Schizosaccharomyces pombe: one gene and its partner. Changing the gene in region 1 together with any one later gene gives a genetic interaction. Each region holds a gene or a part of one and is shown on either strand. Other genes may lie near its edges. The genes, in order: pgr1 and trx1.

The links.
Region 2: of pgr1 (region 1) and trx1, extra expression of one rescues a mutant of the other (dosage rescue), as found in Schizosaccharomyces pombe (one study listed by BioGRID).

What each region holds. Positions count from the first base shown.
Region 1 is NC_003423.3:1,410,945-1,419,332, reverse strand, and holds pgr1 (glutathione reductase Pgr1), read right to left. Parts: upstream 4,894-8,388; 5' UTR 4,838-4,893; coding exon 4,786-4,837; exon of another isoform or gene 4,731-4,785; coding exon 3,388-4,730; 3' UTR 3,177-3,387; downstream 1-3,176. Other genes in the region: peroxin pas4, read right to left, coding at 1-366, 425-461; aim22 (lipoate-protein ligase A), read left to right, coding at 689-1,780; SPOM_SPBC17A3.08 (deoxyribonuclease Tat-D), read right to left, coding at 1,773-2,008, 2,072-2,349, 2,415-2,613, 2,789-2,982, 3,037-3,068; SPOM_SPBC17A3.06 (phosphoprotein phosphatase), read right to left, coding at 5,286-6,278; SPOM_SPBC17A3.05C (J domain-containing protein), read left to right, coding at 6,642-6,670, 6,725-7,161, 7,226-7,971. UniProt on the Schizosaccharomyces pombe protein: Catalyzes the reduction of glutathione disulfide (GSSG) to reduced glutathione (GSH). Constitutes the major mechanism to maintain a high GSH:GSSG ratio in the cytosol.
Region 2 is NC_003424.3:2,622,956-2,630,421, forward strand, and holds trx1 (cytosolic thioredoxin Trx1), read left to right. Parts: upstream 1-2,377; 5' UTR 2,378-2,501; coding exon 2,502-2,813; 3' UTR 2,814-2,900; downstream 2,901-7,466. Other genes in the region: dfg10 (steroid dehydrogenase), read left to right, coding at 1-535; oligosaccharyltransferase subunit Ost4, read right to left, coding at 985-1,083; SPOM_SPAC7D4.08 (uncharacterized protein), read right to left, coding at 2,087-2,377; dolichol-P-Man-dependent alpha(1-3) mannosyltransferase Alg3, read left to right, coding at 3,628-4,848; SPOM_SPAC7D4.05 (hydrolase), read right to left, coding at 6,418-6,864, 6,954-7,030, 7,066-7,228. UniProt on the Schizosaccharomyces pombe protein: Participates in various redox reactions through the reversible oxidation of its active center dithiol to a disulfide and catalyzes dithiol-disulfide exchange reactions.

The DNA of each region.
Region 1 (8,388 bases):
TTCGTAGCCCAAAAGGTAATTTAAAGCTAGAAGAATAAGAAGCTTGTTTCAAAAGCTTGTTGACATGTACGCCTACTAAGTCAATGACTAATGAGAATATCAACGAAGTCATCCTTTCTCCAGTAGTAGCAAGAACCAGTCCTTTCGATCGATCCTGCTTAGCTAAAACAATTCGAGCTGCTTCCTCGCCCATTGTAGCATACCGCAAGCAACATGCTCTGTAAAGGAATTTCCCTAAAACATCTACATATGGAATTAAAACCCCCTCAAAATTTGCTTGCATACGAGGACCGCAAGCACGGGCTATACCCTCTATCTGAGATTTAATGAATTGAATGCATGCTTCATCAATCTCCGTACATAGGACTTGCTTCGTTAATATGCAAAAAAAAAAGAATTTAAAGAGATAAATAGAAGCACTTACTTATCTGTAAAGGATCAATGTGTGCTGACAAGTGCATGAGACGATTGTACTAGAAACGCTCTTTTTAACTTCACTCGTAAATGATTTTCAACAGCGCAATCTATTTATTAATTTAGGATTGTACTACAACCCACACTGTTTGCTATTTAGACGGTTTAAAAACAATCTATTTATTGTGTCGAGTGAAAATTACTTGGAGAACGTGCTTGAATACCTTGAAAGTGATTGCGATTATCATAAAAATTCGAATGAATTTTTCAGGAAATGCTAGAAGCTGTTACAAACCCTAAATCATCTCTAGCAACCTTTTCAAAACAATTGAATGGCTTACTACAAGCAAAGGTGGTAGTTTGCAAATCAGTCAATCCATATTTTAATTTAGCACTTGAAAATTATCTTTATGAGAATAGTACGGCTAAGCATTGTCTACTACTTTATACAAATTCTCCTAGTGTTATAATTGGGAGAAACCAAAATCCTTGGGTAGAAGCTAATGTGAAATTGTGTAGAGACAATTTTGTAAACATCATTCGTCGAAAGTCTGGAGGCGGAACTGTTTTCCATGACTTTGGAAATTTAAATTATAGCGTTTTGATGAACAGAGAGGAATTTTCGCATACTGAAAATGCGTCTATTATGATTCAGGCTTTACGAAATCTCGGTGTTCACGCACGGCTAAACCAGCGACATGATATTGTACTTGCTCAAAGCCAGAGGAAAATTAGTGGTTCAGCTTATAAAATCAGTAGAAACAGATGTTATCACCATGGAACGATGTTGTTGAATTCTGACCTCGAAGGTGTTCGCGAATATTTGAGAAGTCCATCAACCGGCATACTTTCCAAAGGTGTTTCAAGTACTCGATCTCCTGTATCGAACACCAAGTTATTGAAAGCTGAATTTATAAAGCAGGTTATTTCTTGCTTTTTGCTTCACAAATCTCATTCTACTACAACCAAACCTTTATCTAAACCACGTGCTTCAAGTAAAAGATTGTACGATATTGAGCCAAAGTCAGTCATCACGCTCGAGCAAAATGATTTATTAGGTGTTCCTTCTATTCTAAAAGCAGTTAATGAGCTACAATCCTGGGAATGGACCTTTGGTCAAACACCGTCCTTTAAGCAACATCTAGAATCGACAGAGCTTTCAGTCAGTATGGATATTTCAGTTGTTCACGGAAGATTAGAAAAAGTTATATTTTCAACTCCCAATGCTACCCTTGAGCACGAACTATCATCCATTCCATGGACTGGTTTATGTTACGAATCAGGATTTGCTAACACTTTTCTAATTAGTGGAATACACAGCAAAGAAGCAATTTCCATTTTGAAATGGATTTCTGACTCTATTTAGATAAAAGATTAATACTGTTTTCCCAAATTTGTTCTGATAATTCTTCTAACGATATATCTTTCAGCGCCGCTACAATCTCTGCGACTATATAAGTGTTACAGGGTTCATTTCTCCCACGAATCATGCATCCCTCCTTAAACCTTTCTTTTTTACATGAATCAAATGGCAATTTTGTTTTCAAAAACTGATGTCCTGCATGAGATGGTCGTACTTCACACCATGGGGCATCTACAAATATTTGTTAATTATTCTGCCTTACAGATGGTTCAAATTTATATAGAAATTTTATACCTGTCTCCAAAAGCATTTTTTCAAGAGGAATTGCTCGAACCACCTCAAGATTTTCTTCCGTTTTTAAGGAACAACCGTTAACTCCAACGTACAAGCCGTGTTCAATACAACGCCTCATCTCATCTATACTCCCTGTAAAAGAATGTACTACTCCTTTTTTGGGTAATTCTGGAAGATACTTTTCTAGGATAGCAAAAAAATCATTCTCAGCATTTCTAGAATGCAGAAAAAGTGGTAACTGGACTCGAACAGCAACTTTTAATTGTTCTTCAAAATACCTAATTCAATTTTTTGTTAGTTTTTAAGTATCATATTGGACCGAACCATATAAAATAATACTTACATCTTTTGAACATCAGCAGGCGCATAATGTAATCTATCATAATCAAGACCAAATTCACCAAAAGCAACTACTTTTCCTGAAGCTTTGCCCTTATTAGCCAATGCTTCTAGTTTTACTAGATAATCTTCAGGACCCTCAGAGTGCCTTAGAAAGCATTGTGCCTGACATGGATGCACGCCCACGGTACTAGTGAAACATTCTGTAATTTATTAGTAGGCTGATAAAAAAATTTGGATTAGGCTCATTTCAACACTTTGAGGAAAAGGACAAGAGTTTACAAAAATGCCACAAGCGAATGAGTTGAGTAGTAAACAGTTTAAGCAATTTTTATACTAGTAAAATAAAATAAGAAATGAATTGTGAGATATACTTACCATAGTTTGTAGCTAAATTCAGGGCTTCTTCAGAGTTTTCGACATTGTCGCCGGTAATCATCATTTTTTCTACTCCCACAGCTTTCGCTCGAGAAATTATGGAATCAAAATCATCAGGATGTTTTAGTTTTTCATGATAAATACCTCGAAAAACAGGATCTGTTGCGTTGTATCCAATGTCATAAAATCGCAAACTGCAGCTCATATCGTAAGTCTACATTATCTTTCTTTATACCGAAACTACTTACCTTTTTACAAATGCTTGCCTAATTGATGCCATAGGTAGAGATCTTTTTTTTTTGTTTTTTTCCTCTAGAGGTTTAAAATGTGAGAGTTGAGCTTAAACTGCATTCATATATACTGCTGGGTTAGACATGTAGGAAATCAAAAAAATATTTAGTTTCTTATCAGTTTTATTGCAGAAGCAAATATAGGTATTTTAGCAATAGAAATAGCTTTATTACAATTACATATAAGTTTTGAACAATTAATTTGCAAATAAATCTGATGTTAAATAAAAGTACTCATAATTTTAATTCTATTTAAGAAACCAGAAGTGAGAAAACCTGTCAAAACAAAGGATAAATAAAAGACAAAATTTAAACTAAAGTAACTAGTTCTTCAGCAGAAGTAGGATGAATGGCAACACAACTATCAAAATCTGATTTTGTTGCACCCATCTTTATGGCTACACCAAAGCCCTGCAAAATTTCAGCAGAAAAATCTCCAACTAAATGTAGGCCAACCACTTTTTGAAGAGGACCGGCACAAACTAACTTGTAAGTAGTGGGGACCTTGTCTTCTTGCTCAACCATTGAGTAATTAAGACCGTTGAATTTAGTGTTGTATACCTTAATTTGACTTTCACCGTACTTGTCGATGGCTTCCTGTTCTGTAAGACCTATAGTTCCAGCTTCAGGATGAGCGAAAACAACAGAGGGAACTTCCTCGTAATCCAAATGAGCATCCTTAATGCCTCCAAAAAGCCTATCAGACAAACGACGACCAGCAGCAATAGCAACGGGGGTCAATTCTAATTTACCACAAACGTCACCTAAGGAAAGGACAGTGGGAACGTTAGTGCGTTGATATGTATCAGCAATAATGATACCATTAGGGAGTGTCTTAACACCTGCCTTTTCTAAACGCAAACCTTGGATTTTAGGGGCACGACCAATTGCCCAAAGTAGGGTATCAACATTAAAGGTAGATCCATCTTGTTGATGAATACACAATTCGCCAGAAGGAAGCTTCTCAACCTTTTTGAATTCTAAAGAGTTCGTATGGACATTGATGCCAATATGTTGGAAATGATCCATAATTCCATCACTGATAATAGGATCGAATTTACGTAAAAATTTGCTTTGGCGAATAAACATATGAGTCTCTGTTCCTAGAGCAGCAAATACACCAGCAAGTTCAACGGCAATATAACCAGCACCAACGATAGCAACGCGCTTAGGTTGGCTTTCAAGCTCAAAGAACCCGTCACTATCTATACCATATTCCGCTCCTGGAATATGCGAAGGCCAAATAGGATGACCACCAACAGCTATAAGGATATATTTTGCGCTGAAAACCTGAGTTCCCGAACCATCATTCATATCGACAGCAACCTCAGTAGGTGATACAAAGCTAGCGTGACCAGAAATATAAGCCACACCATCCTTATTAACATTTCTTTCATAAATTCCATTGAGACGTCCAATGTATGCATCACGTTTACGTTTAATCATTCCCCAGTCAAAACTACCTAACTGACTGTTAGGGAATCCATTTTGCTTTGCTGTTTTCATCTTTGCGACGAGATCAGCAATATTCCACATAATCTTTTTGGGTACACATCCATAATTTACACATGTGCCTCCAAGGCGCCCAGATGCCTCAATTAAAGCAACCTTGGCTCCATGTTTGGCAGCACGACGAGCCGAAGCCAAACCGCCTAATATTCATAAATGTTAACCCATCAAATCCCGAAAGTATCGAATTGTACTTACCACTTCCACCACCAATTACCAGGTAATCAAAGACCTTTGAAATAGGTGCCATTCTAGTTTTAATACTTCGTGTATATAGGTAATGAAGAAGTTGAATACTGTTATAAACCAACGGAAGGTAAGGGTAAGACGTCTTTACCATGAATTCGTTATGATAATATTAGGAAATTTTATGGCAATATTAGTCATCTTCAAAAGTAAGCAATACCTCCATAAAGTGATAATTAGATTAGAAGAATTCCTTAGACTTTGCCATTGAACAGATGGAAATACTTTTCTCAGGCCAATGATAGTATAGAGTTTTTATTAAAAAATAAGTATTCAGAACTGGTTAGTACTTTAATTACAAGATCTCATCGACAACTCTGGAAAAGCAACCAATGTTTTAAGATAAACCATTTTTTTGTAATAAACATAGATGATTTGAAAACCTAGAGCGATCTTCCTAATATACATTAACTTTGAAGCAAGTGGATGATTCACACACGCAGAAAAAAAAATCAACCGAGTTTCCTAACAGCGTCTACACGCGACTGTAAAATACTTAAAGCTGGACAAACCCATTGAAGACAACTGCATTGTAAACCTTGCCATTTATAAGAACCAATTTTAGAATTGCATTTTGGACAATCAAATCGACCTTCCAAATTTCCCAACTCCAATTCTGGCTGCATCCAGCGAATAGGTTCCAAAAAGTAATGAGTACATCTTGTATGAGAATAATTATTTTCATCTTTCGGTTCATGCGATACCAGATAATCAGAGCTGGCAAGGACAAACCGACATTTTTTACAGCGAAGCTCTAATTGTCCTGCACGGGCACGGACAGTCTCAGCGTAAGCGACTTCAGATGGTACCCTAGTATTCAACACCGCGAAATCACCATATCTTCTGAACAGCCATTGGCGGTATGGGCGCAAACTTCGATCAAGTTGGTAATTACACTCAAAGTATACGCGAAGTTGACGAAGAAAATTAGCATTAGGAGATATTCCAGAGCGCCTTTCATTAATATGGGAGAGTGCTTCCTCAGTATTCCAATTGTTTTCCTTCATCAAGTATGCAGCCACTAAGGTTACGGACCTTGATATGCCCGCAAAGCAGTGAACCAAAACTTTGGCATTTTTAGATAGTGCAAAAGCGATGAATTTATTTGACTTTTCGAAGTATTGCAGAATATTTTGAGAACTAGAGTCTTCAATTTGCAACCAAAGGTGTTGTTGTTCAGGAACCGACAAATTGGGATTAATACTCATAGCGCTTAATGTATAATCGATCCCTTTGTCTGAAGTAGACACTAGCTCTGACGCCGTTTTCCAACTACTAATATACAAATTTTTTGATATTTCCGACAAGTCATTGAGGCTGTCAGGATAATGCACCTCGTCTATAGCTTTCTGTACATCGTTGCTAGACTGTAAAAACCCTTCTGCTTCTTGAACGGATGAGTGAATTTCATCAAACTGAGGTTGCCATGCACTTTTGTTGCTCATTCTATTATTAAGTTTCTGATTTACCACTTTGAAACCGAAAGAAACATAAAAACATGAAAAACACTTAACTTTTCCAATTACTCTAATTATTTCGCTTGGCAAACAACCAAAACCAAAAAATGCTCTTTTTGAATTATTTTAAATATATCAATTAGTTTTCCCTTTTATTCCTGTTTTTGGTGTTTGGATTGATTCAAAAGTGCATGTTACTTAAGCCACTTGACCTTCGATATGTTACTTGGTTTAAAGGGTTTCTGGTAGCATCGATCCATCCAAGTACAAAGTTGGCAGAGATTGAAGGCACTTGAAACTTTGGTTCTCTCATCAAACTTGGACTTAATTTCCTTCTTTCATATCACCAAAATGGAATCTAGTAGAGAAGAAGCCCTTAGGTACGAATAATGAGGATTGCGTGAGATTTTATTACTAACACATGTTACGTGTAGATGCATTGGACTTGCAAGAAAGTATTTAAATGCCGGAGAATATGATAAGGCTTTAAAATTTGCTAATAAATCTTTGCGAATTCATGCTACCACTGAGGGCGAAGATTTTGTGAAACAAATAGAAAAGCAAAAGCTTACAGGTTCTCCAAATCCTCAGGCAACTCCTAAGCAAGAAAACAAGAGTAACTTTTTTTCTGAAAAACAGTCGGTGCGGGAAAATGGGAATAGCTCTGCTGGTGAAAAGAAACAGAAGTGGACAAGCGAACAACATTTGTTGGTCCAGAAAATCATAAAGTACAAAAATCACCAGTACTATGAAATATTGGATTTAAAGAAAACCTGCACTGATACAGAAATCAAAAAGTCTTATAAAAAATTAGCATTACAGCTCCATCCAGACAAAAATCACGCACCTAGTGCTGACGAAGCATTTAAAAGTACGTCTTCATTTTTTAGCTAATAATTTTTAAGGTTTTTTTTTGTATCCTAACTTTTTTATAGTGGTTTCAAAAGCCTTTCAGGTTTTATCAGACCCTAATCTACGAGCACACTACGACCGTACAGGAATGGATCCTGAATCTCGCGCCTCTGCTGCGAGCAGCTCTTTTAGTAGTAACGCAGGAGGCCATCCTGGATTTTCTGCTTATCCTCAAGCGAATATGTCTCCCGAAGATTTGTTCAATTCTTTCTTTGGTGACCAGTTCTTTTCAGGTCCAGGAACATTTTTCTTCGGTGGTGGACCTGGCATTCGAGTTCATCAGTTTGGCGGCCGTCCAAGGAATTTTGCACGTCGTCAGCAGGCCCAGGACATGCCCCCAAAGAGCATATTTTATCAGTTGCTACCTTTGATAGTGGTAATCCTTTTTGCCTTTTTGTCCAACTTTAGTTGGTCAGATAGTACGTCGGTTAATACGCGCTATTCATTTCAACAAAACTATAAATACACTGTTCCTCGTACTACTGCCAAGCATAACATTCCATACTATATGAGCCAAAAGGATTTGGATAAGCTAAGTTCAAGAGATATAAGAAGACTCAACGAAAAAGTCGAGCATACGTATACTCAAAACGTCCATAATGCTTGTTTGCGCGAGCAACAAATTAAAGAAGACGAAATTCGAAGAGCTCAAGGATGGTTCTTTCCTGATAAAGAGGCACTGAAGAAGGCTAAAGAATTGCGTTTACCTAATTGCGAAGAATTAAACCGCCTTGGCTATCGAACTTATTCAAACAGTTATTATTTTTAAGCAATAGTCTTTGAGACATACTTCCTTGTCCTTTGTTTTGTTTCATTTTCTTTAATTCACATCTATACCTATTCTCGTGTTGTTTACTTTCATAAAAATTTTAATTGGGTTTTTGGAACAAAACTAATATTCTTTACGCGTATCTTAAAGCCTGCCTCTTCGGTTTTTAGGTAACTTTAGGCTGTTTATCTTTAATGAAATCGGCATGCGTTATTCCTAAAAGTTGCCTTTAAAACATGAACAAATTAGAACTTGTGTTTATGTTGTGGTTTTTTTATTGTTATTGAACATTCAGTGCTGCGTCAGTTTATAACTTTATCTGTTGTGTAGGCGTTGTTTAATCAGTCGTGAGTCTAGTGAAATCTTGCAACAGCATTATTTCCTTAAGAGGTGAGGCTTTTTTGAATCAAATCCAAA
Region 2 (7,466 bases), on another chromosome or scaffold:
AGAGGACTTGATGTACAGTAAAAAGCTACAAGTACTCCTACTAATTTATGAAATTCACACGCTGCGTAGATTATATGAGAATCTACGTTTTCGCAAAAGCGGTTCGAAAATGCTTGCTGGTCATTATTTATTGGGATACCTGTTTTACACACATACATTCCTTGCATTGCTTTTGTGCGGTAGAAGAAGTTATGAAAATACAATGTCAAGCATGCAATTTGTTGGTTTGGGGATTTACGCAATAGGCAGCATTTGGCAGAATGCAAGTCATGAACATTTGATTGCTCAAAAAAATCATTCGCAATATCTAGTCCTAAAAAAAGGATGTTTTAAATGGATAACTGGCCCCCATTACCTTGGAGAAATCATTGTTTATACTGGAATAGCACTGATTGCCCAACACTGGTTAATATGGCTAGTCTTGGGATGGGTACTTTGCAATATGGTAGCAATCTCTTCTTCTTATGCTTGTACGGTCAAGAACAAAGAACAAAGTTTGGACTTTCGGTGGACTCTTATACCTTTTCTATACTAAGAAAAGCGTGCCGTCAGGATACCGCGATTCTTATTGATTGTGTAAAATAACATTTATTAAAAAAAAAGATAATTTGTATTAATATTTAGTCGGGGTTTGAGAAGAGACGAACTTTAAAGATGTATTATTATTTTATGTTGCACTTTAGTACAAGCAACAGTAGATGATAAAAGTTATTTGGCCAGCATGTAGAAAATAGGGAAGGAAGGAAAAAGAGATAGGAAAATAAGAAAAAAGTAATACAAGTGTATCCAATATTTAACGGAACAAATAATAAGACATATTTTGTTTCGTAATATAATCATTTTGATATGCAGGTACAAATTCCATTTCACAACAATACCAAAGGTAACTTCCCTTAATTGAAAGAGTGACTAATTTAAAAAACGTAGACGAAGAGTGCAGCTATAAAGGTAAGTTAGACAAACAGACATGAATCTCTCTTTCTTTTATGCTTGAGGACGTGAAAGGTAATGGTAAAGGATGATTAAGAGCATCATGGAGATACCAAAGGTGGTAACGATATTTTGAAGTTGAACGTCTGTCATTTTTAAGATGATCCTTTGTAGGAAATGAGTTCTGATGCTTGTGCTCGGTACAAGTTGGGAATACAAGTATTTAGGTCCAAGCCTGAATTGCCGTGCATTCTCATAAAGTAACGAAGCACGGTTGCTACTTGAAATGTGAATATCAGTACTGCAGTGATGAAAAAGACTGCCGGTATATAAGGTAAAAGAAAGAAGAAAGAAAATTCATTTTACGGTACTTTCGAATTCTTTAATACATATTGCTGCTCAATAGCTTCTGGATGTCTAAAATGTGAATGCTTCGAAAGAGCGTAAAAAAATTTCAAAAAAAAAAATTTCTTCACCATCCCTATAATTGCCGTTGATTAAAAAAAAAAAAATGTAACTTTCTACTTTGTTAAAGCCAAAGTAGCTGTAGAAAAAGTGACTGTGGATGCGTATGTAAAAGGTTACCCTCTCAAGCTGAAAACTGCATTGTACTATTTCGCCATAACGTGAATTTGATATAAAGCGATGGTTCAATACACCGTTTCTAGAGGAAGTAGCATGGAAAAAACATAAATTAAAATATCGTTCATCGTTCTAACGAAAGTTCAGCTACCGCAAAGAATTATTTGACTGGCGATTAACTTTTTTTTGATTTCAGAATTTCAAGTATATGTGACACTGTTATAAACTGCATATTTATACTCCTTTTCCAATTTCTACCGCCATTTATATGTAAAATGGATTTTGTTAACAGTAGGAATATCGCCTCACTATTTTACATTTTTGTATGTCTTTTAATTTGTAATTTCATATCAGTACCTCAGTTGTTATAACAAAATTTTCTTAACATTACTTCGACTCCACTAACTAGATCGTGTACAGCAAAGAAAAGAGCACGCATAATCTTTCAGCTTACCAAAAAAAAAGAAAATCTTTACATTTACATACTTATTATTTTGATGCTTTAATTGCTTATAATCTCATGTTTGTCGAGAATCCACGATTAACAAGCTGACATAACAACAAGATGGCTTCTTTAGCTTTGTTTACTAATTGTCAGGTTTCCGATTTGTGATTCGTTGTAATTCCATGAAGTATTACTCCGAAATGCGTTATAGAAAATTAGGAAACGAATTGGTAGGTTGATGGCAGAGAATGGCACCATATCCTCGTTATTGTAGCTCATTACCTCATCGTCGGTGATTGCACAATGTACGCTCTCGATCTTTCTACTAGAATAAGCGAACTTATAAATTACACATTTTCTCAATAATATATAAACGGGCACGTCGCACCATCGTATAAGTATACTAGAGACAAAGTTCATTTGCACTCCTGAAGTCAACGTCTTTTGAATTTTTCAGGTTTACTTCTGTTTACTCGTTAAATCGATTTTTTCTTTATTTGAGTATATATTTTTAACTTAATTTCCCATTTCATTTATATACAACATGGTGAAACAAGTCTCCGACTCTTCTGAATTTAAATCTATTGTTTGCCAAGACAAGCTTGTCGTTGTCGACTTCTTTGCTACTTGGTGTGGACCTTGCAAGGCCATTGCTCCTAAGTTTGAGCAATTTTCCAACACTTACTCTGATGCCACTTTCATCAAGGTTGATGTCGATCAATTAAGTGAAATTGCAGCTGAAGCTGGCGTTCACGCTATGCCCTCTTTCTTCCTTTACAAGAATGGTGAGAAGATTGAAGAAATCGTAGGTGCTAATCCTGCTAAATTAGAGGCTTCTATTAAGGCGAACCTCTAATTTACGCAATCTGATAGTTAGTTGTTATGAACTTGTAATACAAAATATTTTTATTTAACAAAAATAAATGTTTTGCTTTTCTTTGTGTATGCACCGTTGTAATTTATTGGGAAAAGTATTTTTGTCCTAGCATCTTTTCTACTGAAGTTGCAGAACGGCGATTTGCGTACAATTATCGCAATAATAGTAATGTGCCATCGACCAGGCGTAGTAATCTAGTCATGGGCATTTTTCAGACAAGCTAGCTAATTTGCGACCGCCTTGAGCATTTGTAATATTTAATACGACTTTTTGGTTAGGCGTTCGTGACTCTGTTCTACATTATTCTCCTATCCTTCTAAGATAGACATTGGAGAGTGTATACCAATTTGGAATGATACCATTTGGATGAATAAATATCCTTTTTGATTACATGCTCAAATACATGCTACTCTTTATTTATAACATTATACAATTAACCCAACGAATATTTATGTTGATCTGAGTAGCAAACATATTTTTGTATTCTATTAGAATAAAATCTTTAATATTCTCGTTAAGTATTGTTTTATAACAATCAAATTTCACATTTATGGAGTAAAATCACAGTAATGATTACGCTCCGTCGACATGTTCTTAACACTTACATCCTAACATACATTGTTCGTCTAACGAGTTTCATTAAAAACACAATTTTTCTTAAACAAAAAGGAGTTCCTTTCTATGTGAAAGAACTCTACCAATTTTCCATTGTCTATAATAAGCGTTACTCTTAAAAACCTGGGATCTGTCTACATTATTTGCTAAAGTCTCGTATTTTATCAAAAGTTAACCAATGTCTTCAGTTGAGACAAGAAATTCTTTTAATCCTTTTCGGGTATTATTTGATCTTGGTTCCTATGGCTGGTTACATCCTTCAAGGCTCCTTCTGTTGGAAATTCCTTTTGTCTTTGCTATTATTTCCAAAGTTCCCTACACGGAGATAGACTGGATTGCTTACATGGAGCAGGTGAATTCATTTCTATTAGGAGAAAGAGATTATAAATCTCTTGTCGGATGTACAGGCCCTCTGGTCTACCCTGGAGGGCACGTATTTTTGTACACCCTTTTGTACTACCTTACTGATGGAGGGACCAACATTGTAAGGGCGCAATACATTTTTGCCTTTGTATACTGGATTACAACGGCTATTGTAGGGTATTTGTTTAAAATTGTCCGCGCTCCTTTTTATATATATGTTTTGCTTATACTTTCAAAACGTCTACACAGTATATTTATCTTACGTTTATTTAACGATGGATTCAACAGTTTATTCTCTTCCCTTTTTATTTTGTCTTCATGCAAAAAAAAGTGGGTTAGAGCTTCAATTCTACTAAGTGTCGCTTGTTCTGTCAAGATGTCCTCCTTGCTTTATGTCCCAGCTTATTTAGTTCTTTTGCTCCAAATCTTGGGGCCCAAAAAGACCTGGATGCATATTTTTGTTATTATAATTGTACAAATTTTATTTTCTATTCCCTTCCTTGCCTATTTTTGGTCGTATTGGACTCAAGCCTTTGATTTTGGCAGAGCATTCGATTATAAGTGGACAGTAAACTGGAGATTCATTCCACGCAGCATTTTTGAGTCTACATCATTTTCCACATCAATACTTTTTCTTCATGTTGCTTTGCTAGTTGCATTTACCTGCAAACACTGGAATAAACTGAGCAGAGCAACACCATTTGCAATGGTAAACTCCATGCTGACCTTGAAGCCTTTACCAAAACTCCAACTCGCAACTCCTAATTTTATCTTTACTGCATTAGCAACATCCAATTTGATTGGTATATTATGTGCAAGATCCCTGCATTATCAATTTTATGCATGGTTTGCTTGGTATTCACCATATCTATGCTATCAAGCTAGTTTTCCTGCTCCGATAGTAATTGGCTTATGGATGTTACAAGAATACGCATGGAATGTTTTTCCTAGTACTAAACTATCTTCATTAATCGCTGTATGCGTGCCGCTTATTACTATTTTGAAGCTATACACATCCGACTACAGAAAACCCTGATCCCTCTTTACTAATACGCAAAATAAACTTTATAAAAAGCTTAAACACTTCACTTTTAATTACTCATGGTTTTTAAAAAACAAAATTTTTAGTTTTTTCATTTGTGTACCGACTATAAATTTTTGAAAATTAACATCTTATAAAAACGAACATTAGTCTAATCTTTTAATTCGTATCTTTATGCCGTCATAATTCGATGAATATTCTCTTCAATGAAAATCTCAGGGGATTGACAGATTGATAAAAATTCATACATTTAATCATTCGACACTGAAATGAATTAGCACCAGTGTTTTTATCAAATGCTCATTATTACTTTTAAAAAAGCGTTTCTAAAATATAAAACAAACAGTTGCTAAGAACACAAGTGCTTTCCGCACAACTATTGCAAATATTAGAATAAACAAGTTGCTGATTTTATAGCTTGCACCATTGACAGTCACATTTTACTAAGGTTTCATTATATATTTCAGTTCCCTCGTTAAAGTAATTTTGTGATTTGCTGTTTATTTGCATAATGTGAACTTCTTAAGGATACATTCGACCGCTGTAAGCGCCTCTTGTCTGATGTAGCGTAGTATGGATTATGAAAAAAACATATTTAGCGTAACTTGTAATAGTTCTAATAAGCTAATAAGTAAAATCAACTTCTACCAGCTTCAACTGCACTTCAAAATATATTTTTCATAAAAGGTTTAGAATAATTGCTTTTTAAGGGAATGACTATAAACGCAGGCATACATGTGAGAAAGCAACTTTTATCTTACTATAGCTAGTGCAGCGTAATAAATATTTCTTTATATCAGCATATTGGCATTTCGAGGGAATAATGGTGAATATGTAAATGTCTTAAAAATATTAAATATAGAGCCAGTACTAATTGTTAAATAAAATTTAGATAATTTAAAAGCATAAATCCCTTTAGCTAAATAAATGCTTTATCGAATTTGCTCGGTTTGCGTCAGTTCTTCGAATTTCAATATTTATGAATAGAGTATACACTCCATTAAAGAAAAGAATTTTGTGAGCTACTCTGTATAGATTTTGAACCCGTAAAAACAGCAAATGCATAACTGAGCCCTAGATTGTTGGTCTAACGATTATTCTCGTAGCATGGATGCTAGACTTGGAATAACGCGACTAGAATGGTCATTCAAATTAGAAAATAAAAAGGATTGCTATTGCGTTTATCGGCATATTCTTCATTTTTTAAATTTTCGTTAGCATGCATATGCATTAGCCATTTCATGTTCATGTCTTTTCGGAATATTCATTGTTTACTTATTTGCGCCCTTGTATAATGAAAACAACAATAGATCAATCTCTAAAAAATTAAAAGGATCACATAAATATAATTTTTCTTCAATGTCAAAAGCTAGTACACAAAGGAACAACAGAGCTTTGTTGAAAATATAATCAATTTATACATTTATTAGAATTCTGACGAAATATTCATTTATAAGAAAAAATTATCATTTCAAATGTGAAACCTTTATTGTCACATTAGGTCCTTGAAGAAGGGGTCCAGATATGAATGTTGGATACGCGGTAAACCTGACTGCGTTTATTTTACTTCTGTTCAAAATATTTCAGGAAATTGGTTTTTATGTCACAGTATTCAGCATTCCATTGGATGTTTCTTGCTGCTGAAACATCTTTTATTAAATCATCCCCTAGGTGCATACATTCTTCTGGTTGAATCTCCTGTCCAAGAAGTTTAACAGCCTTTTCCATAGCATAATCAAATATTTCCCTGCTTGGTTTTTCAAATCCAACGTCGTACGAAAACGCATATATATCTATTAGATGATCTATGCCGTAATCTTCAAGCACTGTACGAATTCTTTCGTCTGTGTTTGAAATAATACCAATAATGTATTTCCTCTCTTCTTTATTTCTCTTAAGGAAATCAATCAGAAGAGGATGAATCGTGTAACCCGTCTTTTTGGAAAAGTAACTCCATAGCTCTTCAGCCATTTCTGCAGGAACAGGAGTTGGAAAAGAATGTTCGATAACCTAAAATTGTTAGCATGTAAAGGTTTTTTAGAAATCAAGAGATTCAATTCTTTACAAAACACAAATCTCAATGAAATTCAGACACATACTTTGATCCACCAGTCATGAGGATTTAATCCTGACTTTTTTCCATGATTCTTATGCTTTTCACTGAAATCCTTGAATGCTAAATTATTAGATAAATAGAAACCAAAAGCTAACCTTTATTACTATTGTGTTCAATTTCATCAATAGTTGCATGAACTCCATACTTCTGAGCGACTTCGCTGTACACAATTGGAACAGGTTTACTTAAATGAAGGATTGTTCCAAAAGCATCGAACGTAACCAACTTGATCTTTTGGATATTTTTTGAGGGAATCATAATTCCAGGTTGTACTTTGATGGGACACACTACACAAAGCAATTTACATAAGGTACTCCTTACCACCAGTGCGTTGTTCGGTGTGATAAATAATATTTGCAAATCACTTTTATTGCGAGCGATTGCGTTCTACATATTAAATAATATACGAATAGATTAAAAGTTCATTAAAAATTTATCATGTTACAAGACGAGAGACACGCTACAGCAATAGTAGTCGTTAATTTACGTCGGATAC